Rattus norvegicus: one gene and its partners. The protein of the gene in region 6 binds, or shares a complex with, the protein of the main gene of each other region. Links are inferred from orthologs where the notes say so. Each region holds a gene or a part of one and is shown on either strand. Other genes may lie near its edges.

Region 1 (3,500 bases), on a different chromosome or scaffold from region 6:
AAAAAAGATTAAGAAAAGAAAATCATAAACTGAAATCTTACATCTCTGGAGTCTTGGACTTGTTCTTGCCGTTGAAGAACTCAGGAAGAGCCCTCCGCTCAATGGCATGGACACTGCAGGATAAATCACAATGGTTCACAAGGCCCCAGGGGTGGGTAGTTAGCAGCTCTTGGCTGTGGGGCAACAGGAGAAACAGCCCACTGATCAGCAAGGGGAGGAGGAGGGTGCGTAGGGTAGCACCTGTTGTAGTCAAACCAGGCAGCATAGCTGGGGACGATGATGTGGTGTGTCTGCTCTGTCACGTTGTCCTCGTGCAGGTCCGCGCTCTTGGTCTGCTCCCCTTTGTTGCCGGTGCTGTTCTCGTCCTCATCCTAGAAGTATGGAGGCTGCTGGATACTCAGCATTCCCATCCCCTAGCAACCCTCAGCTCCTCCGGTAGCCAGGAACAGGATGCCACCGAAGCGGGGAGGGAGATGAGGATGGGCACCTAGGCCGGGGGTGGGGAGGCTGGGCAGAAGGAGAGGTGGAGCCCTGTAAACACATCACAGAGACACACAGAGACAGCCTGTCTAAACCAGCTGCACCTTGCCCGTGGTCTCCATGCTTTCGTCGTCCTGTTCATCTGGAAAGGGAAGAAGCCGAGTGTCAGGCAGGAAGGAGCACAGGGTCAGCAAAGGCAGAGGGCTGGGGGAAGGTAGGCTGAGCGCTCCATGCCTCAGGCACTGCCTGCTAAGGTCTCCCTCCCTGTCTCACCCAGGTCAGTCATGGTGCCGCCTTTGACTGGTGCTGACTCGGAGTCCTTTTTAGTGTTGACTGTCGGGAGAAAAAGCCACTGCATTAGACATGTTGGCCAAAATCAAGCTCTCACTTCTCAGCTGTTAATAGTTTCACATATCTTGCTTTCTCAAAAAAACTTTCAAACATGTTTTCTATTTTACTGCCTTATGCAACCAATGGCTTCCTTTAGCTTTCTCATCTGTGTGTGCAGTTCCATGACTCCCCAGCCTCAGCATCCTAAGGGCCATTCTTTTCTGGCTGCTCTGTCCCCTATCTGTTTCCCTGTACAGTCTTCTAATTGAAGGATGAGCTCATACCAGGTAAGTAGTCAGATACCAGCCCTTGGTTACTCCTGGCAACTGAACCCAGGCCTCACGCACATACGTCTAAGTGTCTACCAGAGTCACAGTCCCAGCACCAAGCCTTCTTTTGGGGCTTGGGGGTCTCATGTGTTCCAGGCCTCTTAACTTACGAAGAGCGGCCTGGCTCTCTGCACCTGCTCCTGAGAGCTGCTGAGCTTACAGGTGAGTACCCCACCAAGCCAGGCTCCCAGCACTTTCTTCTGGTCTTCCCTTCCTAAACTCTTTATTTTGGTTTTGCCTTTTTCAAACAGTCTCAAGCTAGAGAGAAGGTTGAGAGGTTAAAAGCACTGGCTGTTCTTCCAGAGGTCCTGAGTTCAATTCACAGCAACCATATGGTGGCTCACAACCATCTGTAAGTGTAGTTTCATGGAATCCAATGCTAACAAATCTTACAGGCAGATAAACATCATTTTACATGAAATACATCCATAACTAAAATTTATTTACTTTTTTTTTTTTTTTTTTTTTGGAGCTGGTGACCGAACCCAGGGCCTTGCGCTTGCTAGGCAAGTGCTCTACCACTGAGCTGAATGCCCACCCCCTTATTTACTTCTTTACTTAGTATCTTTTAAGAAGAAGAGACACAGACTGAAGCAGCCAGCCTGCCGAGGGCCGGGCCAGCAGTCAGACGGCAGGTGTGAGGCAGCACACTTGGCTTTCCTTCTTATTGTGAGTTATGCTACCGGCCTCAGGAGTCATTCTGAAGCCCAGGCAGATTCTGTACTATTTACATCCTCCTGCCTCAGTCATGCAATCACTGAGATTATAGCCTATACTATGACACCAGGCCTACTTAAATGAGTAGATCTTAATTAATAATATTGTTGTTTTGGGTTTTCTTGAGACAAAGTCTCACTATGTAGCAATCAACAGCTGTCTTGAAACTCACTATGTAGACCAGGCTGGCCTTACATTCACAGAGATTCACCTGCCTCTGCTTTCTGGGTACTGGGATTAAAGGTGTTTACCACCATTTCCAGTCAGATCTTAATTAATTAATTGTTGAATACAAGGTCTCTGTATGGAACCTGGCTGTCCTGGAACTTGTGATGTAGACCAGACTAGCCTCTAATAGCTTACAGAGTTCTTCCTGCCTCTGCCTTCTAAGTGCTGGGATTTAAAATCATGTGTCACCATGTCTAGCCTAAATATTTAAAGAAGATTTAAAACTGTCTGAAAGGCTGGGGGACAGAATGCAGGACTCTACACCTGCTAGGCAGTGTTCACTGTAAGCTGCACCCCTAGCCTAATTTTCAATGCTGTAAAGCAGAGGAGACTTTTCTCCCTTAATTTCATACACAATGCTCAGGAGAAAACAGCTTCCCAACCCCACTCACATACATCTCTTGATATGTGAGGCTGGCGGACAGGGGACAGACTACAAACCAGTACTGTAGTGCAGTCCCCTCAAGAGCACTCCTCATACTGGACAGACTCACAGTCAGCAAACAGTGCCTGCCGTCCAGAGGAGATTCTGAGCCTAAAAGAGGGGACCAGATCCAGGTCCTCTGGAGCTAGAGGGCTCTCTGGGGACAGCAAGCACTCTGATTGCTCAGCCACCTCTCCAGACTCCCAGCTCTGTTTAAAATGTCGTCTTAACATTTTTACAGTTTCATTTTCTTTTCCTTTTTTTTTCTTTCTTTTTTGATTCAGGGTTTCTCTGTGCAGTCCTGGTTGTTCTGGGATTTGCTATGTAGACAGGGTGGCCCTGAACTCAGATCTGCCTGCCTCTGCCCACCAAGTGCTGGGTTAAAAGGTGTGTGCTACCACCGTGGTAGATTTTTATTTTTTGATTTTTTTTGAGTTATTTCTCTGTGTGTGAGTGTTTGTCAGAATGTATGCTTGTACACCATCTGCATGCAGTGCCTGCAGAAGCCAAAAGAGGGTGCTGGGTGCAAGGGTCCTGGAATTAGGCGGTTGTGAACCACTGTGTGGAACTGGAAAGCAAACCTGAAAAAGCAGCCATTGCTCCTAACCACTGAGCCAGCAGTCTAGTCCCCACCCCACTCCCTTTTTTAATCATAATGTTTGCATTTTTTAAAGATTTATTTATTTATTTTATGTACATGACTACACTGTAGCTGTCCTCAGACTCACCAGAAGAGGCCATCAGATCCCATGATAGATGGTTGTGAGCCACCATGTGGTTGCTGGGAACTGAACTCAGGGCCTCTGGAAGAGCAATCAGTGCTCTTTTTTTTTTTTTTTTTTTTTTTCGGAGCTGGGGACCGAACCCAGGGCCTTGCGCTTGCTAGGCAAGTGCTCTACCAGCAATCAGTGCTCTTAACCATTGAGCCATCCCTCCAGCCCTTGCATATGTTTTAAAATGGTCCTAAAGTGAGGTTTTGGCAGTATAATTTA
Region 2 (4,031 bases), on a different chromosome or scaffold from region 6:
AGGAAAGCCTGACAGCAGAGGGCAAATGAATCCCAGGCCAGAGGCAGGGGAACAAAACCTGCCTTTCTCTGGACAGAACACATGACCAGCAAATAGCCTGGACCTACCCAGAGGCAGCTCGGTTCCCCAGCAAAAGTGCATCAGACGAGCTCACTTGCACACAGTTTAAAAGTGTCAGAGTGCAGAGCTCTGAGGGAACGGCGAGCCTCCCCAATGAGCTGCTGGGTGGAGAGTCTGGGGTGCTCATTAGTCTGATGAGCAACAAAGAGCCAAGCCTTTGGGGGGGCTATCGTACTTAAACTGTGGTGCCTCCAATGAAACCTGGGAAGACAGAAATAACCTCAAGGACCTAAGGGAGGAAACATGGGCTCAAACACTAAGCACAGATGGTGGTGGGGATAAGTGAGCACTGAAATCCGAAGGGCAGCATCACCAGGCAAAGTAAACAACAACCCAGACCCCAGAGCAACAAAGGTTTCCACTTGATACCAGAGAAGCTGTGAGAGTAGGCACAAAGGACCATTGTCTTTGTAGGCAGGGAACACAGCACCCCCAACCCCCTTCCGGAAGCTCCCAGCAGGAGTGGTGAACACCAGTCAGGTTTCCTGCTGACCACACAGCACTGCTCCTTCCCAACAGCTCCCACCCTGAGCACCAACCACCATGGACCCTGAACTCACATCCTCCAGGAGCCGTCCTTCTACCCGGAGCTCCCAGGAAGCCACAGTCCCTTCCCCGTCCTCGGCATCCGACTTAGCCGGATTGAATGTGTTAGAAATGAAAATCCGCAGCTTCCGTTTTTGCTGAGGAAGGCAGAAACAGGATTGACCGTGGGGCTTCAAGAGCACAAGGTTCCCTAAAGCTCCCAGGTCACTCCTACCAGGCTGGCTTTGTAGATGGATAAGGACTCCACTGAGGAGCAAACAGGCCCTGACTTGGGCCTGAGTAAATGTGCCAGGGTGCCAGGGAGACAAAGTCGTGCAAAGTGGCAGGTTCCCAAGGTAGCGAGGAGCAAAAACAAGGACAGGGTGTGTTTCTGCTGAAGAGAGTGGGAAGCCCCCCCTCTCCTTGCCAGCCGCCCCACTCCTATGCTCCTGATGTAATTCCTGGTTTGCAGGCAGAAGGGAAAGATGCAGTTTAAATGCCAAAGAGAGATGTGCTGTGCCTTTGGGTTTTCTTCCTAAGCTTGGTGGAGCGTCCTGGCTCCCTCCTGTGACCCTCTGGTACTCTCCTGGTACCTTGATGGGCCGCTTCAAGGCCTCCTGGATATCCAGGCGTTTCCTCATAATAGTCTGGTCCAGTTTCCTTTCAAAAGCCAGGAGATCCATGTAGGCCTGTGATTCCGGTACCAATTCCCGAATCTTAGGAACAGAAAGATAGGGTCAGGCCCTAGAGCTGACCACCTCTATTCTCAAAGCCACTACCCCTTCAGGAAGGCCTCTACAGCTGCTGCACTCACCCTCTGAGGTAGGATTTTGTCAGCCATCTTCTTTTTCTTTGCACTGTTCAGAATAAATACTGTTATCAGGTTGGGATAGGAACTAGTCAAAACATGAGCATCGCTGTGAGCACCTCCATTTATGGTACAGCTACTACGGCCTACGGGATGACTCTCCATCTCCCAGTACCACAAAAACTCCACTTCATCACGAGGCCAGAGAGCCTTCAAAAGGGTGAGTCCCTGCAGCACCATTTGATACTGCAGCGCCTGACTTCCTGGGGACTCCCAGCATCAGCATCCTCACAGGCCTCCTCCCATCCCCGTCTTTCCTTCACCCCAGGGGGCATCTTACTTGTGATTTCGATTTTGGACCGCCTGCTGCTGGACCTGCTGGATCTGTTGAGGTGCAGGTCTCTTGCGGGATTGGTCCATCCCTGACTGGGCCAGGCCAGGTCGGACTGAAGGGTTCCCCCCATAGCCAGGAGGTCCCATGGAAGGTCCCTGAGGTGTCATTCGGCTGCCTGGCAGCATACCTGGTCTCTACAGAAGGGAGAGGACCAAGAGATGTCATATTTTTCCATGCTAGCCCCACCAAGGAAGGAAAAGTGGTGGAAGGCTGGATTTCAGGGATGGGGTAGGGCTGGGGGGTGGGTAGAGTGGAGGACAAGACAATCCTTTGCTTCTTTGAAATATGGTAACTGGAGCTTCTTCAGGCCTACTAGTGATTTAATGGAATATAGTCTAAAAACTAGATTATACTTGAATTTTCTGATCTATGCTGGATCTGACTCATCAGACATTTCTAGTCCTACTTTTTTCTTTTTTTAAACTAGCTGCTGTCTCCTCTAAGGCTGACCTCAATTTGCTGCAATAGCTTGGGTGTTCCTGGAGACACTGGGGCTGCCCATTCCCCTCTGCATCCCATGCCCATCCCAGGGCCCACTTCACCCACCCTGGTTCCACACTCGCTCCTCACACGGAAACAATGCCGCTGGGAGCAGGTAAGGATGCTAACCTCCTTCCCCCCACTCTTCCTCCGCTCAGTTTCCCCCACCTCCACTCCCGGCCCGAGCCCCTCCCTAGGGAGTCCCTCCCACTTCTCCCTCACCCCTGTCAGTCCTCCGCCCTCGCTCGGCCCCGCCCCCGGCCCGCGCGCCCCTCCTCCTGTCCCACTCACCGGATAGGCCGCCCCGGGCATCGGAGAGCGGTACAGCCCTTGACCCGGCGCCGGGCCCATTCGCACGGGAGGCCCGGGAGTTCCGCCCGGGCCCAGAGCAGCCGCCACGCCCGCTCCTCCTGAGGCTCCCGCGCCGCCGCTCGGAGCCACGGACTGGAAACCCGCCCGGGCCGCCATCTTCCCGGAGCCGCCGCTGCAGCTGCACAAAGAACCGGAACCGGAACTCCCCCCGCCCCCCGCGCGCCCCCCGAGCGCCTGGGCTGTTTGTGGGCCCGGCCCGCCGGCGGGCACGGGCGGCTCGGGGCAGCGAGACTACGGGCTAGAGGGGGCGACTAGCGGGAAAGGCGTGCTGACCACTCCCTCCCGCCTTCACGGGCCAGGAGGGAGCACCATAGAGAGGCGGTGTGCTGATAAAGAAGTGCCGGGAGCGAGCGCCCCCGGGCGGTTGGAGGACGTCAAGGCCTTGCAAAGAGCCCAGCCCACCCCGCAGGCGGCTGGAGTGATGCTTCACCTCGGCCCAGTGCGTTTACCTCTCCAAAGCATTCTGGTTGGTTTGCTTTTTGTTTTCCTACGGATCAGACTCCGGATGCTAAAGAGGGAAACAGGCTGTTTGTTCGTTTTACAAACGGAAAAGCTGAACTCAAAGGAGGTGAATGTCGTGGCAAAGACAAATCGAGATAAGAGAAAAGCCATCCTGGATTCGGGTCTCCTGGCTGGTAGCCAGGGCCTCATCTTATAAATAATGGCTTAAGGGGTTGGGGATTTAGCTCAGTGGTAGAGCGCTTGCCTAGGAAGCGCAAGGCCCTGGGTTCGGTCCCCAGCTCCAAAAAAAAAAAAAAAAAATAAATAAATAAATAAATAAATAAATAAATAATGGCTTAACAGCTCCCCGGCACGGGAACTTAGCCCTTCACCTCAGACCTTTAACTTCAGATTTTAATGAATTCTTTTACCTTGAATCTTCTCCAAAGAGACCCGGATATCTGTTGCTTTAGATTACTTTGCTGGTCCACTGCCTAGGGAACAGAGGATTCCTGAATTTGTTCTTTTCCAGGTGGATCAGTGTTTTTACCTGATCAAGTATGTAGGGTCTCGAATAGCCTGGTCTAGCGTTAAACTCACTGTGTGATGGAAAACAGCTGCTCCATCTCCTATGCGCTGGAATTAGAGGTGGAACCACCACACCAGACTACCACCCAAATTTCTTTAGTTGTGTGGCCCTCAAGGCAAGCTCCGATCTAAAGGTTAACACCCAGAGTGCAGGGTGCTGGCAGCTCATACCTTTAATCCTAGCGTTTGGGAGGTAGGAGGATCTCTGTGAGTTCGAGGCCAGCCTGGTTTACAGAGCTGTTCCAGGACAGCCGAGGCTACACAGAGAAACCCTGTCTCAACACAAAACAAACAACAAACAGA
Region 3 (4,138 bases), on a different chromosome or scaffold from region 6:
CAGAGTACTTGCGCTCAGGAGGAGCAATGATCTGAAGAAAGCAAGACAGTGATTGTGAGCATTCTGGATGCTGGGTTGTTCCTTAAGCCAAGAGAGTTGGCTACAACTACAGGGCTGACCACACCCCACTATGGGTCCAGGCTAAGGCTGCTTACCTTGATCTTCATGGTGCTAGGAGCCAGGGCAGTAATCTCCTTCTGCATCCTGTCAGCAATGCCTGGGTACATGGTGGTGCCACCAGACAGCACTGTGTTGGCATAGAGGTCTTTACGGATGTCAACGTCACACTTCATGATGGAATTGAATGTAGTTTCATGGATGCCACAGGATTCCATACCTGAAAGGAAAAGCAAGAGAGATCAGACTTACAGTGTGGCCTCCAGCATTGGTCACCTTTAGATGGAGAAGGGATGAGACTACAACTTACCCAGGAAGGAAGGCTGGAAGAGAGCCTCGGGGCATCGGAACCGCTCATTGCCGATAGTGATGACCTGACCGTCAGGCAGCTCATAGCTCTTCTCCAGGGAGGAAGAGGATGCGGCAGTGGCCATCTCTTGCTCGAAGTCTAGGGCAACATAGCACAGCTTCTCTTTAATGTCACGCACGATTTCCCTCTCAGCTGTGGTGGTGAAGCTGTAGCCACGCTCGGTCAGGATCTTCATGAGGTAGTCTGTCAGGTCCCGGCCAGCCAGGTCCAGACGCAGGATGGCATGAGGGAGCGCGTAACCCTCATAGATGGGCACAGTGTGGGTGACCCCGTCTCCGGAGTCCATCACAATGCCAGTGGTACGACCAGAGGCATACAGGGACAACACAGCCTGGATGGCTACGTACATGGCTGGGGTGTTGAAGGTCTCAAACATGATCTGTAGAGAAAGGAATACAGTATTGTCAAGCTCCTAAAGCCACAAGAAACACTCAGGGCAGGTGAGACTGTAAGGATAGATTTGAGTGAGACATGCAAAGAGGGCAAGAACACAGCTAAGTTAAGTGTGCTGGGAGTATCAGGACAGGGGCTCCATTTAGACCTACTGTGCATCTACTGAATACACACTCCAAGGCCATTTATCACCAGCCTCATTAGCTTTGTCACACGAGCCATTGTTAGTACCTACACCCACAGCACTGTAGGGGTTTAAAACACCTAGTCAGAAAGGCGATCGAGAGAAAAAAAAGACCTCATCTGGGAAAGAGCAGAAACTGCAAAGTTCCAAGGGAGACTCAGCTCATAGAAGAGAGTCCTATGGGAGAATGGCAGAAGAAAGACAATTGAGAAAGGGCGTGGCTGAGAAGTTGGCCCAATAGAGGGGAGGGGTCACCCAGGATACTGACCTGGGTCATCTTTTCACGGTTGGCCTTAGGGTTCAGAGGGGCCTCGGTGAGCAGCACAGGGTGCTCCTCAGGGGCCACACGCAGCTCATTGTAGAAAGTGTGGTGCCAAATCTTCTCCATATCGTCCCAGTTGGTGACAATGCCGTGTTCAATGGGGTACTTCAGGGTCAGGATGCCTCTCTTGCTCTGGGCCTCGTCGCCCACGTAGGAGTCCTTCTGACCCATACCCACCATCACACCCTGCGGAGGAGAACAACGTTCTCAGCACTGGCATCGACCCCCAAGAAAACCCTAGGGCTGCCACTCCCAAAGTAAAGGGTCACTTACCTGGTGCCTAGGGCGGCCCACGATGGAGGGGAAGACGGCCCGGGGAGCATCGTCGCCCGCGAAGCCGGCCTTGCACATGCCGGAGCCGTTGTCGACGACGAGCGCAGCGATATCGTCATCCATGGCGAACTATCAAGGCACAAAAGAGGGCTATGGTCACCGCGGAGCCGCCAAGAGCAGCCGCTGCCGCCCTGCCCACTTCCGGCAAGCCGCGGCCTCGAGCCGCCAGGGGGCGCGCGCCCAAGCTCAGGGGACAAAGGAAGCGCAGGACAGCCGCATTATTACCATAAAAGGCAAACGCTGGCCCGGAGGCGGACCCACGGCAGGAAGCCAGGCCTCCGCCCCCTCCCCAAACGGGCACAGGCCCCGCCTACACTGAGGCGACGGGCGGCTAGTGCGCGCGCGGGAGGCGACCACACCCAGCAGGAAGCGCGAGCAGGCGCCCTAGCCGCTACGACCCCGCCCCTTCCGGGCAACGGCCCCGCCCTCGCCCAACCCGGGGCGGCCGCGCTCCTAGTCTCAATACGCACGCGCAACTCTTAACTCGGAAGAGGGGGAGAGGAAGAGTTCCCTCCCCAGCGCGCACGCGCCCCAATGCCCAGTGATAGAGCGCGCACGCGCAATGGCATCCCAGCCCCCACCCGGCCGAGCCGGCCCCGCCGCGCCCGCCAAGCCGAATGGGCAAAACCGGTTTGGACAAAGACCCATAGGCCATCAAAGCGTGATTGTAACGCCTGACTCCCAATACTGTGTCCCCTCAAGGTGGACAGATGCGGCTTAACACCCGCAAGCCGCACCGGCTCTCCAAATGCCCACACCGCGACTCTAGTGTGTCCCCAAGCCCCGCGCACCAAGCAGGAGCGTGCCCACGAGTGTCTACACCGCGGGAATACGACTGCAAACACTCTACACCCTAGGCGGAAAGTTAAGCTTTGCCAGTGTCCGCTCCGCGGCCCGGTACCACGCTCCACCCCTCTACGGTGTCCCTTCTGAGTGTTCCTCACGATCCTGCAGCGAGGTAGTGGCCAAGGTAAAGTTGGGGCCCGCTGGGCCCGACGTCCCTGCTTACCTGGTGGCGGGTGTGGACCGGCGACGGAGGAGCTGCAAGAAGGTTGTACTCGCGGGTGGACGCGGACTCGACAGTGGCTGCGCGTTGCGCCGCCGGGTTTTATAGGACGCCACAGCGGCCACTCGAGCCATAAAAGGCAACTTTCGGAACGGCGGGCGCTGATTGGCTCCGCGTCGCTCACTCACCGGCCTCGCCGCACAGTGCAGCATTTTTTTACCCCCTCTCCCCTCCTTTTGCAAAAAAAAAAAAAAAAAAAAAAAAAGAAGAAAAAAAAGCGAGCGAGAGAGAAAGCGAGATTGAGGAAGAGGATGAAGAGTTTGGCGATGGGTGCTGGTTCCGTAGGCCCAGATGGACAAGAATAGCCCCCGCCCTTGTGGACACTATCCCATTCAGTGACTCGGTTACTAGGCCTGTATTCTGGGGGTCACCCACCCACCCCAGGACCCTCTGGGTGTGGATGTCACGGGAATAATGATCACCTAAGTGGGCGAGGGTCAGCTTGAAGGCCCGGACCCTATTTGAGTGGCCTTTTGTTTGAGGGACACACGGGGTCTGGATTGAATGGGCAGAGAGTCACTCCCCCTTGCTAGCAATAGTCAGGAAAGCCAGATCTGGGGGCCTTCTGCTGCAGTTCTAATTTGCTAGGTGTGTTGGGGTACAACTTGGAAGCAGAGCTGTGGTTGGGAAGGTCTTCAGGGATCTTGACCACTCAAGGCCAGAGTCCCAAGGATAGGGCAAGCCCCGGTGGTCCAGTGACTGGAGGTGTTTGTTGCAGGAAGATGCCTCCAGATATCCTCTGCCCCGGACCTAGAAAGGAACTGTGCTCAATCGAACAAGCAAAACTTCTCATGGAGTCCGGCACTTTTGGAGGGCTGCCTGATCACACCCAGGCAAGACTAAGCCTGGGCCGTTAGCTAGTGGCTCTGGGTGACTGCCAGGCATCGTTGGGCTGGAGCCCACCATCTAGCCTCTATGTATTATGTGCAGCCACAGCTGAACTGTACACTGAACTGTTCATCTGCTGGCCACGGGGACTCTGGGAGTGACAAACTACTCAGGGAAGTGCTGGTGGTCACCAGAGCCCCAAATCCTCCAGAGAGAAGAACCCCCTGCTCTCCTCACCTAAGTAGGAGAGTTCTGCTCAGGAAGCTAGCCATTTGGCTGATAGCTACAGCAGGGGATCAGAGTTGAGGGTCGGGTCCCTCAGCTTAGCTTAGAAGGACGCACAACTCCTGGGAGAGAGTGACAGAAAGCTATATTTAGGCAAGGAGAATGCTTCAGGTGGGATGCTCTGGACCTGCCATGGCTTTACACATGCATAGTAGGTGTGCACTGGCTCACAAAGTGTAGGTGTTGAAACCAAGGAAGGCTTCATCCATATATGGGCTACAGTGGCTGTGCATGAGGAGG
Region 4 (3,500 bases), on a different chromosome or scaffold from region 6:
ACTTTCTGAGTACTCTGTTGCTGCATTTGCTGAAAGGAAAATAGTACAGTTAGAAGTCAGATATAGTTTTATAAAAAGTTTTCCCGCCCCCTAAGACAGACATCAGTCACCTCAAATCACTTACAGAATACTCTTTATAATGATCTGTAATTCTCTGACGTTCCTTTTCTTGTAGAATAACAGAATATTCAGCGTGTTTAGCTGGATATTCTTTTATCATTAAGTCAATCACTTCATCACTGCGCAATGCTGTTAAACCTATTTTAGACCCCCCCCAAAAGAAAGTAAAGAAAATATCTTAAGGCCAAGCGAACACAGTGCTTTTTCAAAACTAGCTTTTTTTTTACTGTCTTACTGTAATCAAAGCAAAATTAATACATTGTAAAATATAAGTTAATTCTTCCCAATAAAGTCAAGCAATCAAAACTAAACGTTATCTTGTAAAACAAAAATTAAATCAAATCAAATGATTTGAGCCTTTCTATTTTATATAAATCGTAAGAATATACTTAGAAATAATTATGAATGGTATATAGTAGCCACTAATAATTAAGACAGGATATGTAAAAAGTATTTCTCAATATATATTTCTAAGTCTCCAAATTTATATATCAGAAATACTATCAATTCACATCTTAAAACATTCGCCAGTCTACACACACCACGTAACTTTTACAGCATCAGTATCAGATTTCCCTACTGCTGTGATGAATTTATACTGGGAAGTGCCCGTTGACATTGATGCACTCACCAAAGATAAATTATCAATAAAGCAGATGCTATAAGGAACTTAAAAGTTTGACAAGATTTGCCAAAAATAAGAATCTATGGGTTCAATCCCCAGTAGTACAGATAAAGCTCTCTACTTAGATATAAATTCTACTCCCAAAACACAAACATTTTGACAACTCTGTTAAAGTTATCAATAGAAAATTATATTGTAGTATAAAAAAATTATATCATGCCTTTACATTTTAACAATTAAAAATAAGTAAACAACTTATTATTTAAATAATTTATTAATTTTGTAAACTATTTTAGGAGATGTGTCATTTATCTAATTATCTACCACCTACAAATGTTCATTTAATAGACAGGATAGGTGCTAGTTACCTAGTGTGCACTGTGTTTCCGTGATGACGTTTAATTCTCTCAGGTACAGTTTCTCCTTGTGAGATAAATCTCGTCGCTCTAAATCTCCAAAAGCAGAACAAAAGGACTGTTAAAAACTAAAACTATTGGGGCTGGGGATTTAGCTCAGTGGCAGAGCGCTTACCTAGGAAGCACAAGGCCCTGGGTTCGGTCCCCAGCTCCAAAAAAAAGAACCAAAAAACAAACAAACAAAAAAAAAAAAACTAAAACTATACATCTTAAAACTTTTAAAAACTTAGGAAAACAACTATTTAAACACATTTGTTGCTAAATTTTCTAAGTATTATTAGGTAACTACACACACACACACACACACACACACACACACACACACACATCTTACAAATTCAAGAAATAAACATCAGAAAACTAAAAACTAGAACAATCCGAAGTTAACCATTTTCTATATTAGGGCAGCTCATCATGAATGGCTTCCGACAATTCAAGCTCGGCTTAGATGCTATCTCTATTTCTGAGGCCACAGAGCAACAGTTTCGATTAAAAACACTGGCTATAAAGTGATTTTTCTTTTCAAACTTATCCTCAAGAAGTCAGTAGGATGTTACACACCTATAATCTTATTCTGTCCCTAAAGAACTTGGTGACATACAGAAGAAGCATGCTACCTCCACAGTAGGATACTGAGTGCTCATCACAAATTAAATCAGCAAGTGCACTTGCTTCATAAGCAGAAGAAAAATAACTCATAACCAAGTCTCTGTGGTAAGTATGATGTCATCCATTAATACACTAAGCCGTAAGTACCTGGATATTTCCGCTTGAAGGAGGTCACACCCAGATATTCACTGACTTGCTCCTGAAGCATGTAGTATTCTCCTGTTTCATCAGGTGGCCATTTGTATTCTATTAAGTTTTCTGCTGGGTAGTAACTGAAGCTAAGATGCAAACACACATTATGCCTTATATGTGGCATTTATTAAACGTCAATCATATTTATATTCCAAATTATTTTCAAAACAATTTTAAGAATTGCAATTCTTTTTATTACTGCTGTAATTATAGAAAAAATTACAAAATGGGTAAAAGGAAGAAATTTAATGATCCAAAATGTCACATAAAAAAGTCCACTAAATTTCTTCACATGCAAACATATACATGGCAGTTTCTGTACATGCAAAGAACCTAAGGCTGGAGAGATCTCAGTGGTTAGGAGCGCTTATGACTGACGCTTGCAGAGGATGAGTATTTGCTTCCCAGCACCACATCAGGCAGCTCACAACCACCATGACTCCAGCTCAGAACCTACTATGATCTTCTGGCCTCGGCGAGCCGCCATACCCACGTGGGCACACACGTAAAGTTAAACCCTACTAGATCTAAGAAAGCAAAGCAAGGAAGCAACACTCAAGTAGTTTTATTTAAAAGTCACTACAATTACGTCATACATCCCAGATATAACAGACAACTTCCGATCCTTATGTATTGCTCAGTAAGTCACACACAACTAGAAAAGCAGACATTCCAAGGACCACTTTGTCAGTGAACTGGACAATAAGCTGTAATTTTATGTCTTTATACTCTACAAACCTGAAGTAAAGAGCAGATCTATTTGGAAGTTGTGTACTGCACCCAACTGCAATCCTCAACAGTAAAGACTGTAATGAACGGGTCAATCTGGATCACGTAACATAAATCAGACGCAGGAGTGGGACAGTGGTTTGTAGCATTTATTCATTTAAAACTAGCTCATCGGGGTTGGGGATTTAGCTCAGTGGTAGAGTGCTTGCCTAGCAAGTGCAAGGCCCTGGGTTCGGTCCTCAGCTCCGGGGGAAAAAAAAAAAAAACTAGCTCATGAAACAGCCAAACCTGGTTGGTGCTAGCAAAGAACAGACACATACAAAGCCACAGAAAGGAACCTCACCTCCCATCACATCGCATGCAAAAAGTAGCTCAGAATGAATCAAAATCCTAAATGTATGTAAGAGCTGCCTAGAAAACTCTAAGTTAAAAACCAACTCTTACACTTAATACCCAAAACAAAAGTTACGGGCATGAAAATTAAAAAAAAAAAAAGTGACACTATCAACTATAGGGAAAAAAGCCAGATAAAGAAATTCCTATGCAGAGTACGTCAAGAAGAGAAATGGACAGCTGGGCATAGCGGTGTAGGCCTTCCGTCCTAGCGCTGTGAGCCAGCCTATCTACATAGTGAGTTCTAGGCTAGCCAGAGGGACATAGGAAGACCCTGTCTCAAAAAACAAAAGCGAAAACGGGCAGGGGTGGAGAAGTGGACAGAGAAGTAAACAGACATTTCTCCAAAAATATAAGTCAAATTGTCAAAATACACCTAAAAAATATTCAACAAACACCACTAGCCAGTGTATACA
Region 5 (3,500 bases), on a different chromosome or scaffold from region 6:
CACACACACACACACACACACACTCACACACCCATACATACTATACCTATGGCACACACACACTCACACACCCATTCATACTATACCTATGGCACGCACACACTCACACACACATACTCTCTCTCTCTCACACACACACACCCATACATACTACACCTATGGCACACACACTCACACACATACACCCATACATACTACACCTATGGCACACACACTCACACTCACACCCATACATACTGAGGAACTGATACTGTTTGGTTATCAGGCACTGTTTTTAGCTCTTGCTTTCTCTGTACCACGTCCCCCTTGTCCACCTCACAAGAATGTGAGAAAAATATATATAATAAAATGTAGAGGCACATTATATTGTTTTGATTGCTTGTGTGTAAGCAAAGCCCGTGATTTTGCACACTGACAGGAATATAAGCATCTCTAAAGCGAATGCTGTACTCATTAGTGACGCACCAAGCTTCTCCGGCTCATCGGGCCCGGTGCCTGCAATGCAGCTGCTCTCCAGGCCGTAGGTAGGATCCACCTTCCCAGAGGCTCTTGCAGCTTCCTGTACTTTCTTGACATGCGCTTCCACCAATTCCAGGGGTACTTCTTCTCGGACACGAGAAAACTCCTCTGAGTCAAGATCACAAAGACAATATCTTAATTTTGCATAGATATTTGATCCTAGTGTGACAAAGTAACATCAGTTTATACAGTGAGCACACTAGGGAAAATATAAAATGAATCAATCCAATCACTTCCCTAGGTTATTATCCAAAACATAATAGTGCCTTCTTTATTATACTTTGAAAAGTTGTTTAAAAATCTATTAGAAACAAGTAAAATTTCAGTCCTGATTTCACCACTCTGCTGGCAAGACTGGTAACTATAAAAACAGCAAGGATCAAACAACCTTAAAAATGTAAATCCTACAATATAAAAGATGCCTGGGTGAAATTAAGTTATTGAAAATAAATTAAGTAGCTTCCATGCTATATCTCTACCAATATCCTAATGTCATAAAACACTTACTTTCCTTTATACACGAGTGTGTATGTACATGTATGTTGGTTGAGACAAGATCCACAATAGTCCACGCTGAACTTTAAACTCCTGATTCTTTTGTCTCTTCCTCTAAAAAGCTGCAATTTCACAGGTTATGCCAAATTATCTAGCTGTTCTTCTAAATCCACAAATATTCTATGGGCCAGCAACATGGCTCAGCCAGAATGGACATTTGTGGCCAGGCTGACAATTCAATTCATGAGGCACACGTAGTAGGACAAAGCTCACCCTTGCACTGCTAATCCTGACCTTCAGAGATATATCATGGTAAGTGATCTTCCCTCTCTCTCTTTCCCTCTCTCCCTCCCTCCATCCCTCTCCCCCTCCCCTCCCTCTCTCACACACACAAAATAGATTTTTAAAAGTGAAAGAAAAACAAAGTCCTTACAAATTATTTTCTACATTTTGATGAAGCACATTATCTTTAGTTTTTGTTGTGTGACTTATAAGAGAGAAATGTGTATTAACACAGCTGATATTCTTAAAAGCATTTGTATGTATGTGTGGGGGTGAGCTTGTGCCTGGGTTTAAGTCTGCTGGTTTAATCCAGTTGACATCAACAAAGATTCTATCAGTTCTCCCTCCACCTTATCTCTGAGTTACTATCCCTGTCAGGATGACTTGTGAGACCATCTATTCTGTCTCCCAGTATAGATGCTATAAGCATATACTAGAGCTTCTAGCTTTTACACAGGCTTTGGAGATCTGACTCAGGCCCTCATGCTTGCACAGCATACACTTTATATAACTGAGGCAAATGTTAAGTTCATGGCTAATCATATTTGAATATAAAGTCAGACTTTAGTGCTGGAGAGGTAGCTTTCACAGGAAGTACATACCCAAAGCTGCTTTGGCTGCAGCTGATGCTACTCGAGGGTCAACCACGGATGCTAAAAAGGCAACAGTACTCATCACGGGGTTTCCTGACTGGCTGAAAGGGACAGGCTGGTAAGCTAGTGGCCCAAGAGAAGCATCTGAATTTTCAAGGTATGGGTCCTCAATGGGAAGCCTCAAAAAGTGGAGGATGCATTCATCCTGAGTACGGCTTCCAACATGTTCCGAGACTTTATTCCAATCATCCTTGTACATCTCCAGAGCCTAAGTGAACACAGAAACAAAAGGGTGATAGCATCAAATAACAAGGAAGGAAAATAGAAGGGAAGAAAAATGAAGCCAGTGCCCTTTTTCCCCCTTCTGTGTGACAGGATCTCACTATGTGATACAGGCTGGTCTTCAACTTCTACTAACCCTGGTTCACAGGCTCAAGAGTGCTAGGCATGCAAACCCAACCTTGCTAAGATTCTGCAGACAGAATTCTAAAAAAATTTGGGTAGTGATCTAGTAGTTATGGTGGCGCATGCCCTTCAACCCCAACTGTCTGTAAACTGAGACAAGATTTGAAGATAACAGAGTGGACAAGATCCTATTTCAAACTAGTAATATAAATAATTATTTCTACATTAAGGTAAAAGGTAATCTGGCAGTGACCCTTATAATAAGTTGTCAATCAGGCAACAAAACAATAATGAAATACCTGAACATTACAATATTCGTTTAAACTGGATCACTACTCTTTACATGAAAACTTTCAAAGAATCTACTCTGAGATGGTGGCTGAAGATTACCACGACAATATCAGATGGGCTAAAAGCGTAAGAGAAAGCAAGAACAATGCTTATATTCCTCTCATAGCAATGAATAACTTTTTTAAAAAAGATTTATTTTATTTTTGAGTTCACTGTAGGTGTCAGACACACAAGAGGAGGACATCAGATCTCATTACAGATGGTTGTGAGCCACCATGTGGTTGCTGGGAATTGAACTCAGGACCTCTGGAAGAGCAGTCAGTGTTCTTAACCACTGAGCCATCTCTCCAGCCCGCAATGAACAATTTTAAAGTGGAAAAATATTTGTAACATTATTAAAATGAAATAAAAATTTGAGTAAATTATGTGTAAGACCAACATGATACAAAGAAAATCAACGTGAGAGAATGAAAAGATGGGCAGAAAGACAGACAGAAAGAAAGGGAGGAAAGAAAGAGACACAAACAATAAAAAGGGGCAAGTGAGAAGGCTGAGAGACGAAGTCACTGTTTAGTAACCCACAAGATGTTAGAAGAGAACAGACTCCAATGTTGCCCTGCCTTCCACATACACATCATCATCTACCCATACAAACACACTAAGGTCTACAAGACAATGGATTTTTAATAAAAATTGAGGCTAGCAGTAAAAGATTGACAGGACAGAATAGAATGAGTCATAAAATTTATTAGAGTTTTGGTAAAAAGTCGTAAAAACCTTCAAAACAAAAACGAAAACCTGAATCTATATGATTAAATACATAAAATAAATAGTAAGAAAATATAACAAATGAAATAACTTGTCAACCTTTTAGGGCTTGCTACTGTTACTTCTCTCTGGTGGCATGATTTCCTG
Region 6 (4,206 bases):
CATCTCACCTTCCAGAGGATTTTATCTGTGGTTATCCAATTTATTTAAGATGAGACATTTTTTGAATTTTTAGCTCTCCATGCTCAAAACCCCAAACAGACCTGTTCACAGATAAGTTTTTTTGCCAGGATAGTCAGGGCTACACTGAGAAATCCTGTCTTGAAAAAAAAAATTGTTTGATTTTCAAGGAAGGGCAGAACCACGGAAAAACTGGCCTAAGGATGACCCCACACATCAAGCTTCCTCTCAGGAAATTGCTTGTTGCTGTGTAAGTCACTAAGTGGGGAGTGCAGGTACGGTTCCCCCATGAGCACAGGCTATATTCACTCGTTAGCCACACCAAACAGATTCCTTCACAGTCCTGTTAATACTGACAGTTCGTGAGGCAAGCTTCCTATGAGTGACAGACATTTCATGATTGTGGGTCATTCCATGATGTCCTGGTATCATAGGGACCAAATTATGTCGATTTTTTACAGTGCAATAAAAACACTGAGACCTTTGTCTTAATTTCTTTATTATGTTTGGGCCTTTAAGAAACATATAACATCATATATACCACTATTCAGTAAAAATCTATTCTAGATATCAGAGAGCACGCACTACAAACTATCTCATATCTAGTCTCTAACACCACTAAAGGGCTTATCAAAAAAGTAGGTTCGGCTCTGATCTATGGGATCTCGAGCCTTGAGGTTTTCATCACTATGAAGTATGCTCAAGTGGATGAACGTAGTTCCTGTTTTCCTTTTGCAATAGGCCAATCACTTTGAAGTCTGCAGTCCATTATAAGAATATCCCATTCCTTAGGCTCTGCTGTCTATCATGTCTTTGGAAAACCAATCTGGTAAAAACACATTTCTTTTCCCCCTGTACAATAAGGATGAATTTCCCAGAACACATCCCATAATAACTGCACAGATATGGATATGCACGTGCAGGGCTCACCTAATGAGAATCCACAGCAGTAACTACTCCCCCGGCCCCTCCAGGGCCATCTCTGCACAGTCTCATCTGTGTTTCGCTGGTTTCAGGCTACACCCTACCCTGTAAGAGGATGCCTGGTGTCTGATATCAGAGATAAAGAGGGCACTCTGTATAAATACACACGACAGGGGACTCGGAGAGCTGTAGTTGGTCTGGGAGGGGTTAAAGCTATGGCTTTGATGAGCACCCAAGTGAGCTGAAGGAAGGCATTTGGAAGAGCAGATTCTGCAGCATCCAAGTGGTTCTCAAAGAGATGGGTCTCTCGACTGATCTCAGTTCTGAGGTTTCAGAAGTTGAGAGCTAAGAAAGGTGAGCAGATGGCATTAGGCTATGCTATTGAAGACCTTCACGGTATCAATGGAAATAATACACAGACCACATAACACCATTAAAACCAAAAAAAACACATTTTTTTTTTCATTTAAAAAAAGTTTTAGGTCACATAAAACAAGGCAACATTTATTCCTTCTTCTCGTCTTCTGGCACAGGGTCCGTGGGCGGCTCCTCCACCGTTGCGCTGTTGCTCTCTGAGCCGGTGTTACTGTCACTGGTCCCTTCCACCTCCATGCTGTCAACCCCCTCCTGCCCACTCTCCTTGTCCTCAGGAGTAGATGTGCCTTCTTCACCATTCTGCTGGTTCTCCGCAGTGTCTTCAAGGTGTGTCTCCTCTGTAACCACACATTTGCACCATCAGTTCCGTTCACTCTAACTCTGCTGACGGCATTAAATGACCTGTCCAGTCTGACCGCCACTAGGCACACGTGGCAAGCAGTGAAATGAGCCAGTCTTGTGACTCAGGAATATTCATGAATATCTGAGACAACTCAGGGTGCGAAAATCTACATTTTTACCTACAGTATTAAGAAATTTAAATACATATCAAACACTTTTGTGGTGAGAATTGAGCTTTTGGGAGAGGGGCTGGAGAGACGGTTCAAAGGTTAAAAGCACTGGGTGCTCTTCCATAGAGGACCTGGGGTTCAGTTTCCAGCACCCATATGGCAGCTCACAACTATCTGTAACTCCTGTTCCAGGGGATCTGGATTGATACCCTCACACAGACATACATGAAGTCAAGTCACTAATGTAAATAAAATAAAAATAAATAAAAAAGAAGTATATAAAATACATGCTAGATTTCAAAGATTTGATACAATAAAAGAATGTAAGACAGCGAGAGTCTTGTATGTGTGCGCATGTCAGAGGAGAACCACAAGTGTTCTGTTCCTCAAGAACTGTCCACTTTAGGATCTCTCACTGACCTGGGAGTAACCAGGTAGGCCAGGTTGGCAGGCAATGAGCCCTAGGAATCTGCTGATCTCTAGCTCCTGTACTGGATCCTGAGGATGTAACCTGCTTTTCCCATATGCGCTCAGGTCCGTCTACTAAGCTTTCTGTCTAGCCTAGAGTATTAATTTTTAAAATCTTATAACATGTAAATATTTTTTTGGAGACTTGGTTTAAATGTAACATTAAAAGGAAGCCAGAAGCCAGAGGTGGTGGCACCAGAAGATTGCACTCCGGAGTCTGAGGCCAGCCTAGACAACACAGTAGAGCAAGATCCTGCCTGAAATACACAAAATGAAGGCACAGAAAGAAGCAGATGCTCTGTTTAAAGTGGTGCTGGCCACTTCCTTTAGGAAACTGAACACAAGGTTCTAATATCTTTAATTTTTTCCCTTCAGTTCTCCCTCCGTTTTCTTTCCTTAAGCTAGCAGACAGACATCTCAGTAAACATCCCAGACACCCAGACGCCGTCAGAGGGAGACAAACCTCATTTGGGGCAAAACAGACTCAAGACTGAAGACATGGTTTGGTTGCAAGATGAGCAAAGAACCACACTCTGGTTCGCCCAATTTATGGTAAAAAAATAACAAAACAAAACCAAAAACCAAAACCGGGTTCACAAAACCAGAAAGAGGCCCAGACAATGAAGACTAAAACCAGCCTGTCTGGAAAGGAAACCCACTGAGTTAAATACTGTGTAAATGCCTGGCAGAGATACTGACGTTTCCTTAAACACTGCCAGGAATTACTGTTGAGTACAGAGTATGCCCATGTCCCTTTTCCCAGCAAGTGCTAGTGTCCCCTGACTACTTTTGGCTTACTCCTGTTTATCCACTAGGCAGGGTCAATCGTGCTGAGAGGCAAGGTGATCTCGAAAACTTCAAGAACAACCAAGTTCATCAGTATTTGATCTAAGTTTTACCTTTCTTTTCTTTAAAAAAAAAAAAAAAAAATCCAAACCATGAGGAATGCCTTTATTCAGGAAAACCAAAACATCAAAAAGCATTGTTCCGGCTGGAGAGACGGCCCAGTGGTTGAGAACCCTGACTGCTCTTCCAGAGGACCTGAGTTCAATTCCCAGCAACCACATGGTGGCTCACAACCATCTGTAATGGGATCTGATGCCCTCTTCTGGTGTGTCTAAGACAGCTACAGTGTACTCATATGAATACAATAAATACATCTTAAAAAAAAAAAAAGCACAGTAGGCTGAGGTCGGTTGGCACCAACATGTAAGGCTTAGACGGTCATCACTAAAGGCTGTTGGCCAGGAAGTCTGTTTCAAGTCCCAAACTACACCCACACACACGCACACCCACACCCACACGCACACACACACACACACACACTCTCTCATGTCACCTCAAAGCTGTCACATGTAGTGTGACTCACAACAAGTGAGTCTGGCCATCTTCTAGTCAAACTTTGCCATCTAAGGACTAAGACAAATCTCGGGCCCATGACACATCTTATGTAAATAGTAGCCATAAAGGTTAAAGTATTATTGCCTATTAATCCTATGTCAAATCCAGCAGCAAGTAGCTGTTCAAATGAGGAGATGAGAGAAAGCTCAGCAAAGTCAGTGTCAGCAATGGGCAAACAGACAGGGCCCTGCACGCCCGTCTCCAGAGCCACCCCCACTTGAGTACTACCAAGAGCTCACACGGCAAGACTGATGCCACCATGCTGCTCTGAGAGAGACAGGGAATGGCAGAATGCCGGCTGTCAGGGCCCTCACACTTCCTGGGTTGGGGAGGCGGTTACCTGTCTCCATCGGGATGTTCTCCTCATCCTTCTTCTCCTCGGCTTTGTTCGCCACTTGCTCTTCCTCGGGGGCGATGCTGCCCTGGCTGCGCTCAGCTTGCTCGGCTGCCTCCTTCTCCCTCTCCTCCTGCCTTTTGCGGGCCTGCTCCTCCGCCTGTGCGATCTCTG
Region 7 (3,500 bases), on a different chromosome or scaffold from region 6:
TCCAGAAATACGTAGTGAGTTTCACCTGATCGCCCGCAGTCCGCACAGGAGATGAGGTCCTCAGGACATCCAGTCTTCTTGGAGCCCCCCAGGCAAAAGTCACAGTAGCCATTGGGGATGACAGTGCCATCTGGTGCTTTCTTGGCTGAAAGACAGCAGGCAGCGGTGGGCACAGGACAGGTGAGGCGTGCCAGTCAAAGACTACTGCAGAAGTCGGGGAGGAGGGAGGTGCCCCTACCTGTGTGTTTCCTCTGTGCCTCGGGGACCCAGGCCAATTCTTTGTAAAACTCTGGGGGTAGGGGGACAGAAAGGGGCTCTTACCATAGGCAAGGTCCCATCTGTCCCCAGCCTCAGCCCCAGGGGCGGACCCTTGGCCCAGGCACTGGGAAGTAGCAAGAAAGCTGGGGGAGGGACAAGGAATGCTCACCAGAACCCTAACTCTTAGGATTCTATTTGGGTATGTTTTCTCTATTTGGGTAAAAGTGTGAGGATAGACATAACCTTAGCAAGAACCCATGGCTGCTGCCACCATCGTGTGTTTGCACCCCCCAGGTAAGCTTGCCTAGGCCAACGCTTAGCCCGCAGTTCTGCAACGCCTAATCAGGAGGACATTGTTATAGCACAGAAGGTTCTGGGTCAGGCCTGTGGATTTGTAGAAGCTGTCTTTGAGGGACAGGTGAGCTAGGCCCCCTCCCCCCATGGTTCAGTTGTCATGGCATGGAACAGCCATGAGTGGGTATCAAGGACCCTGGGGACCTTGCCCCTGGACCCTAGCATAGCAGAGGAGACAAGGGAGGTCTAGGAAGAGAGGGGATCATCTACCACCCCACTCCAGGTTCTAATTGAAACAATAAATCAGACCCAGAAATAAACCCGGGAAGGGAGTGAGTGAAAGAGTGAGAGAGACAGAGAGAGAGAGAGAGAGAGAGAGAGAGAGAGAGAGACAGAGAGAGAGAGAGAGAGAGAGAGAGAGAGAGAGAGGGGGTTGGTTGTCATGGCAACCCTAGAGCCAGCATCCCTATGATTGGTGGGGGAGGGAACCGTGAAGATTTTTTCCAGAAATGTCTAACTGTGCCTCCACCTCCCCAGACACTACCAGTCTCCACCGCCCCCGCCCCACCCCTCGCACCTCACCCACCAGCCTTGACCCTCCAACTCACAACTCACGTTTATGGTTGTTTTTCCGGTGGAAAGGCAGGGCGTGGCGCTCAGTGTGCTCCTCCCCCTCCTCCTCAGCCAGGTGGGTGTGGGTGTAGTGGTAGCTAAGCCCTGGCCGGTTCTTATACCTCTTCCCACAGACTGGAGGGGAAGTGAGCAGGTGGTTGTCAGACTCCAGGGCCACCTCCTCCACCCCGGGTCTCCAGGATCACACCCCCCTGCTCTGCCAAGGGCCAAAAGGGAGAGTCCCTGGGTCCCACACCCCCTCTCTCTTTCCCCTCGGCAGAACTCACTATCACAGACGTACGGCTTGTCTCGGTCCTCCAAGGATGCGTTGTCCTGGCGTTTCCGGAGACCTCCAATGCCATACGCCTGTAGGGAGGAGGGTTAGGAGTAAGGAAGCCAGGAAACCAGGGAAAGGCTCATCATTCCTGGGGCTTTTGAGTTTGTCCTTGTCGTTGCTGTCGTTGCTTTAGACAGAGTCTCATGGTGTAGCCCTGCCTGACCTGGAATTCACTCTGTCGATCAGACTGGCCTTAAACATGCAGTGATCCTCCTGCCTCTGGGTTACGGGTATGTGCTACCATGCCTTAGTGGGTTTCTTCATTTAGACTTGAAAATTCAAACTGAAGAAAAAAGTTAAAATTTTCTTAGTACTAGGGGTGTGGCTCAGTGACAGAGCAGGTGTCATGGGAGTATGAGACTCTGGGTGCCATCGCAGAGCCACACAGCAATAATGAAGTCTCCCCATTAAAACCAGGCACATTTTCTAGCTGTGAGCCTTTGAACTTCTCGCAGTACACCTATTAGATAGTTCTTTTTGGTGTTGTTTTGAGACAGAGTCTCTCCACACAGTCCTTGCTGTCCGAGAACTCGCTATACAGATCAGGTTGGCCTTGAACTCACAGAGGTCCTCTTGCCTCAGCCTCTCCAGTGTTGGAATTAAAGGTGTGTTCTAACACTTTTTTACTGCTCATAATGGAGGGTGTGTGTGTATGTGTGTATGTGTGTGTTGTGTGTGTGTATGTTTGATTGTGTGCATGTAGTAAATGTGTATTTGCATATGTGTCTGTATATGTGGTGTATATGCATGGTATATGTGTGTATATGTTCGTATATGCAGGTGCACTTGTGTGTGTGGTGTGCATGTATATGTGTGTTTATGTGTGTATGTGGAGTGTATATTTGTCCATGTGTTTGTATGTGTGTATATCCACATGTGGTTATGCATACGTGTTTGTACGTGTTCGTATGTGTGCATACATGTTTGTGTGTGTGTTTGTGTGTGTGTTGCTGTTGTTGTCTGGGTGGCTGGTTTGGTTTAGGATTTTTTTTTTCTTTTTGCACATGGTCTCTTTATGGAGTTCAGAATAGCCTGGGATTCACTTCTCCCAAACTTGGAGCAATTCTCCTGCCTCAGCCTCCCAGGTACTGGGATTACAAGTGTGGGCTGCCACACCCAGGTCTGCAAGACAGTTCTGATCCACAAGCTCCAATTTTGAAATTGTTATAATCCACTGAGTTTCCATTTCCTCACCCATAAGAATGGGTGCAAAACCCTCTACTCCTTCACATAGCTCTGGGGAGGAGGTGGGAGGGAGAAGCTTCTGGAAGATACCTTTCCTTTGGCCCTGTTCTTCCTCCTGGGAATGTCTTCCTCCAAGTCTTCTACCTCGAGATCATGCGGAAACTCCAGCAACTGCTGTTTCTGGGCCCAGTAGAAGGGAGATTGGGGGGTCAAGAAGGTGGGGGCACTGATGTGCTGCAGGTGGGGTGGGAGAGCAAGTCAGGGAGCCTTCTACAAGCAGAGGTGTTCTGGGAGAATGGGGCTGTAGGGTCCCCAAAGGCCCTGTGGAGCCGGGCATCTCAGAGCAGGAAGGCATAGTGGTGACAGCGCACCTGCAGCCAGGGAGGGGGCTCCTACCTGACAGTCCATAATGGTCTCCTCCTCCTTCAACTCCACTTTCTTCTCTCCAGTCTCAGCGCACAGCAGAGCCTCAAGGACTGGCCCTTCCGGGAGGCCACCCTCCTTCTTCAGAGGTGCCTCACAATCTGGGGACAGTCCACAGGGAAAGGGGTATCAGTTGAAGAGGCTGTGGTCAAAGTGCCCAGGTTGCAGGCAGGTGGGGGTGGGAGCGTGGTCCTTGTAGCAGGGGCAGCCTCTCCCACGCTCAACCAACAATGGACATAAGGATTCAACTCGGGCCCTGGAAAGAATGCCCATACCCTGGGGAGACACAGCCATGCCCTCAGCTCTACTAGATAAAGAAGACAGGGCGAGACCCGCATACACCAGAAACCCTCAGGAACAATAGCAGACCCTCATAAACACCTGCACAGTG

Evidence for each region.
Region 1: Smarce1 (region 6) and Smarcc2 share a complex: the UniProt entries of both Homo sapiens proteins name them as parts of the BAF complex. The link is inferred for Rattus norvegicus from reciprocal best matches to the Homo sapiens genes SMARCE1 and SMARCC2.
Region 2: Smarce1 (region 6) and Smarcd1 share a complex: the UniProt entries of both Homo sapiens proteins name them as parts of the BAF complex. The link is inferred for Rattus norvegicus from reciprocal best matches to the Homo sapiens genes SMARCE1 and SMARCD1.
Region 3: Smarce1 (region 6) and Actb share a complex: the UniProt entries of both Homo sapiens proteins name them as parts of the BAF complex. The link is inferred for Rattus norvegicus from reciprocal best matches to the Homo sapiens genes SMARCE1 and ACTB.
Region 4: Smarce1 (region 6) and Phf10 share a complex: the UniProt entries of both Homo sapiens proteins name them as parts of the neural progenitors-specific chromatin remodeling complex. The link is inferred for Rattus norvegicus from reciprocal best matches to the Homo sapiens genes SMARCE1 and PHF10.
Region 5: Smarce1 (region 6) and Smarcc1 share a complex: the UniProt entries of both Homo sapiens proteins name them as parts of the BAF complex. The link is inferred for Rattus norvegicus from reciprocal best matches to the Homo sapiens genes SMARCE1 and SMARCC1.
Region 7: Smarce1 (region 6) and Dpf1 share a complex: the UniProt entries of both Homo sapiens proteins name them as parts of the neuron-specific chromatin remodeling complex. The link is inferred for Rattus norvegicus from reciprocal best matches to the Homo sapiens genes SMARCE1 and DPF1.

What each region holds. Positions count from the first base shown.
Region 1 is NC_086025.1:1,476,503-1,480,002, reverse strand, and holds part of Smarcc2 (SWI/SNF related, matrix associated, actin dependent regulator of chromatin, subfamily c, member 2), read right to left. Parts: intron 814-3,500; coding exon 754-813; intron 623-753; coding exon 585-622; intron 372-584; coding exon 241-371; intron 114-240; coding exon 42-113; intron 1-41. UniProt on the Homo sapiens protein: Involved in transcriptional activation and repression of select genes by chromatin remodeling (alteration of DNA-nucleosome topology).
Region 2 is NC_086025.1:132,707,396-132,711,426, reverse strand, and holds the start of Smarcd1 (SWI/SNF-related matrix-associated actin-dependent regulator of chromatin subfamily D member 1), read right to left. Parts: upstream 2,801-4,031; 5' UTR 2,796-2,800; coding exon 2,619-2,795; intron 2,569-2,618; exon of another isoform or gene 2,394-2,568; intron 1,982-2,393; coding exon 1,794-1,981; intron 1,503-1,793; coding exon 1,460-1,502; intron 1,362-1,459; coding exon 1,239-1,361; intron 804-1,238; coding exon 681-803; intron 1-680. UniProt on the Homo sapiens protein: Involved in transcriptional activation and repression of select genes by chromatin remodeling (alteration of DNA-nucleosome topology).
Region 3 is NC_086030.1:16,775,326-16,779,463, reverse strand, and holds the start of Actb (actin, cytoplasmic 1), read right to left. Parts: upstream 2,801-4,138; 5' UTR 2,729-2,800; intron 1,789-2,728; 5' UTR 1,783-1,788; coding exon 1,660-1,782; intron 1,573-1,659; coding exon 1,333-1,572; intron 867-1,332; coding exon 428-866; intron 338-427; coding exon 156-337; intron 32-155; coding exon 1-31. UniProt on the Homo sapiens protein: Actin is a highly conserved protein that polymerizes to produce filaments that form cross-linked networks in the cytoplasm of cells.
Region 4 is NC_086019.1:64,635,259-64,638,758, forward strand, and holds part of Phf10 (PHD finger protein 10), read right to left. Parts: intron 2,049-3,500; coding exon 1,918-2,048; intron 1,198-1,917; coding exon 1,114-1,197; intron 259-1,113; coding exon 125-258; intron 30-124; coding exon 1-29. UniProt on the Homo sapiens protein: Involved in transcription activity regulation by chromatin remodeling. Belongs to the neural progenitors-specific chromatin remodeling complex (npBAF complex) and is required for the proliferation of neural progenitors.
Region 5 is NC_086026.1:119,048,556-119,052,055, reverse strand, and holds part of Smarcc1 (SWI/SNF complex subunit SMARCC1), read right to left. Parts: intron 2,158-3,500; coding exon 1,899-2,157; intron 628-1,898; coding exon 466-627; intron 1-465. UniProt on the Homo sapiens protein: Involved in transcriptional activation and repression of select genes by chromatin remodeling (alteration of DNA-nucleosome topology).
Region 6 is NC_086028.1:84,654,968-84,659,173, forward strand, and holds the end of Smarce1 (SWI/SNF-related matrix-associated actin-dependent regulator of chromatin subfamily E member 1), read right to left. Parts: coding exon 4,039-4,206; intron 1,656-4,038; coding exon 1,447-1,655; 3' UTR 501-1,446; downstream 1-500. UniProt on the Homo sapiens protein: Involved in transcriptional activation and repression of select genes by chromatin remodeling (alteration of DNA-nucleosome topology).
Region 7 is NC_086019.1:93,736,842-93,740,341, reverse strand, and holds part of Dpf1 (zinc finger protein neuro-d4), read right to left. Parts: intron 3,211-3,500; coding exon 3,083-3,210; intron 2,921-3,082; coding exon of another isoform or gene 2,867-2,920; coding exon 2,777-2,866; intron 1,531-2,776; coding exon 1,452-1,530; intron 1,300-1,451; coding exon 1,168-1,299; intron 290-1,167; coding exon 239-289; intron 146-238; coding exon 26-145; intron 1-25. UniProt on the Homo sapiens protein: May have an important role in developing neurons by participating in regulation of cell survival, possibly as a neurospecific transcription factor. Belongs to the neuron-specific chromatin remodeling complex (nBAF complex).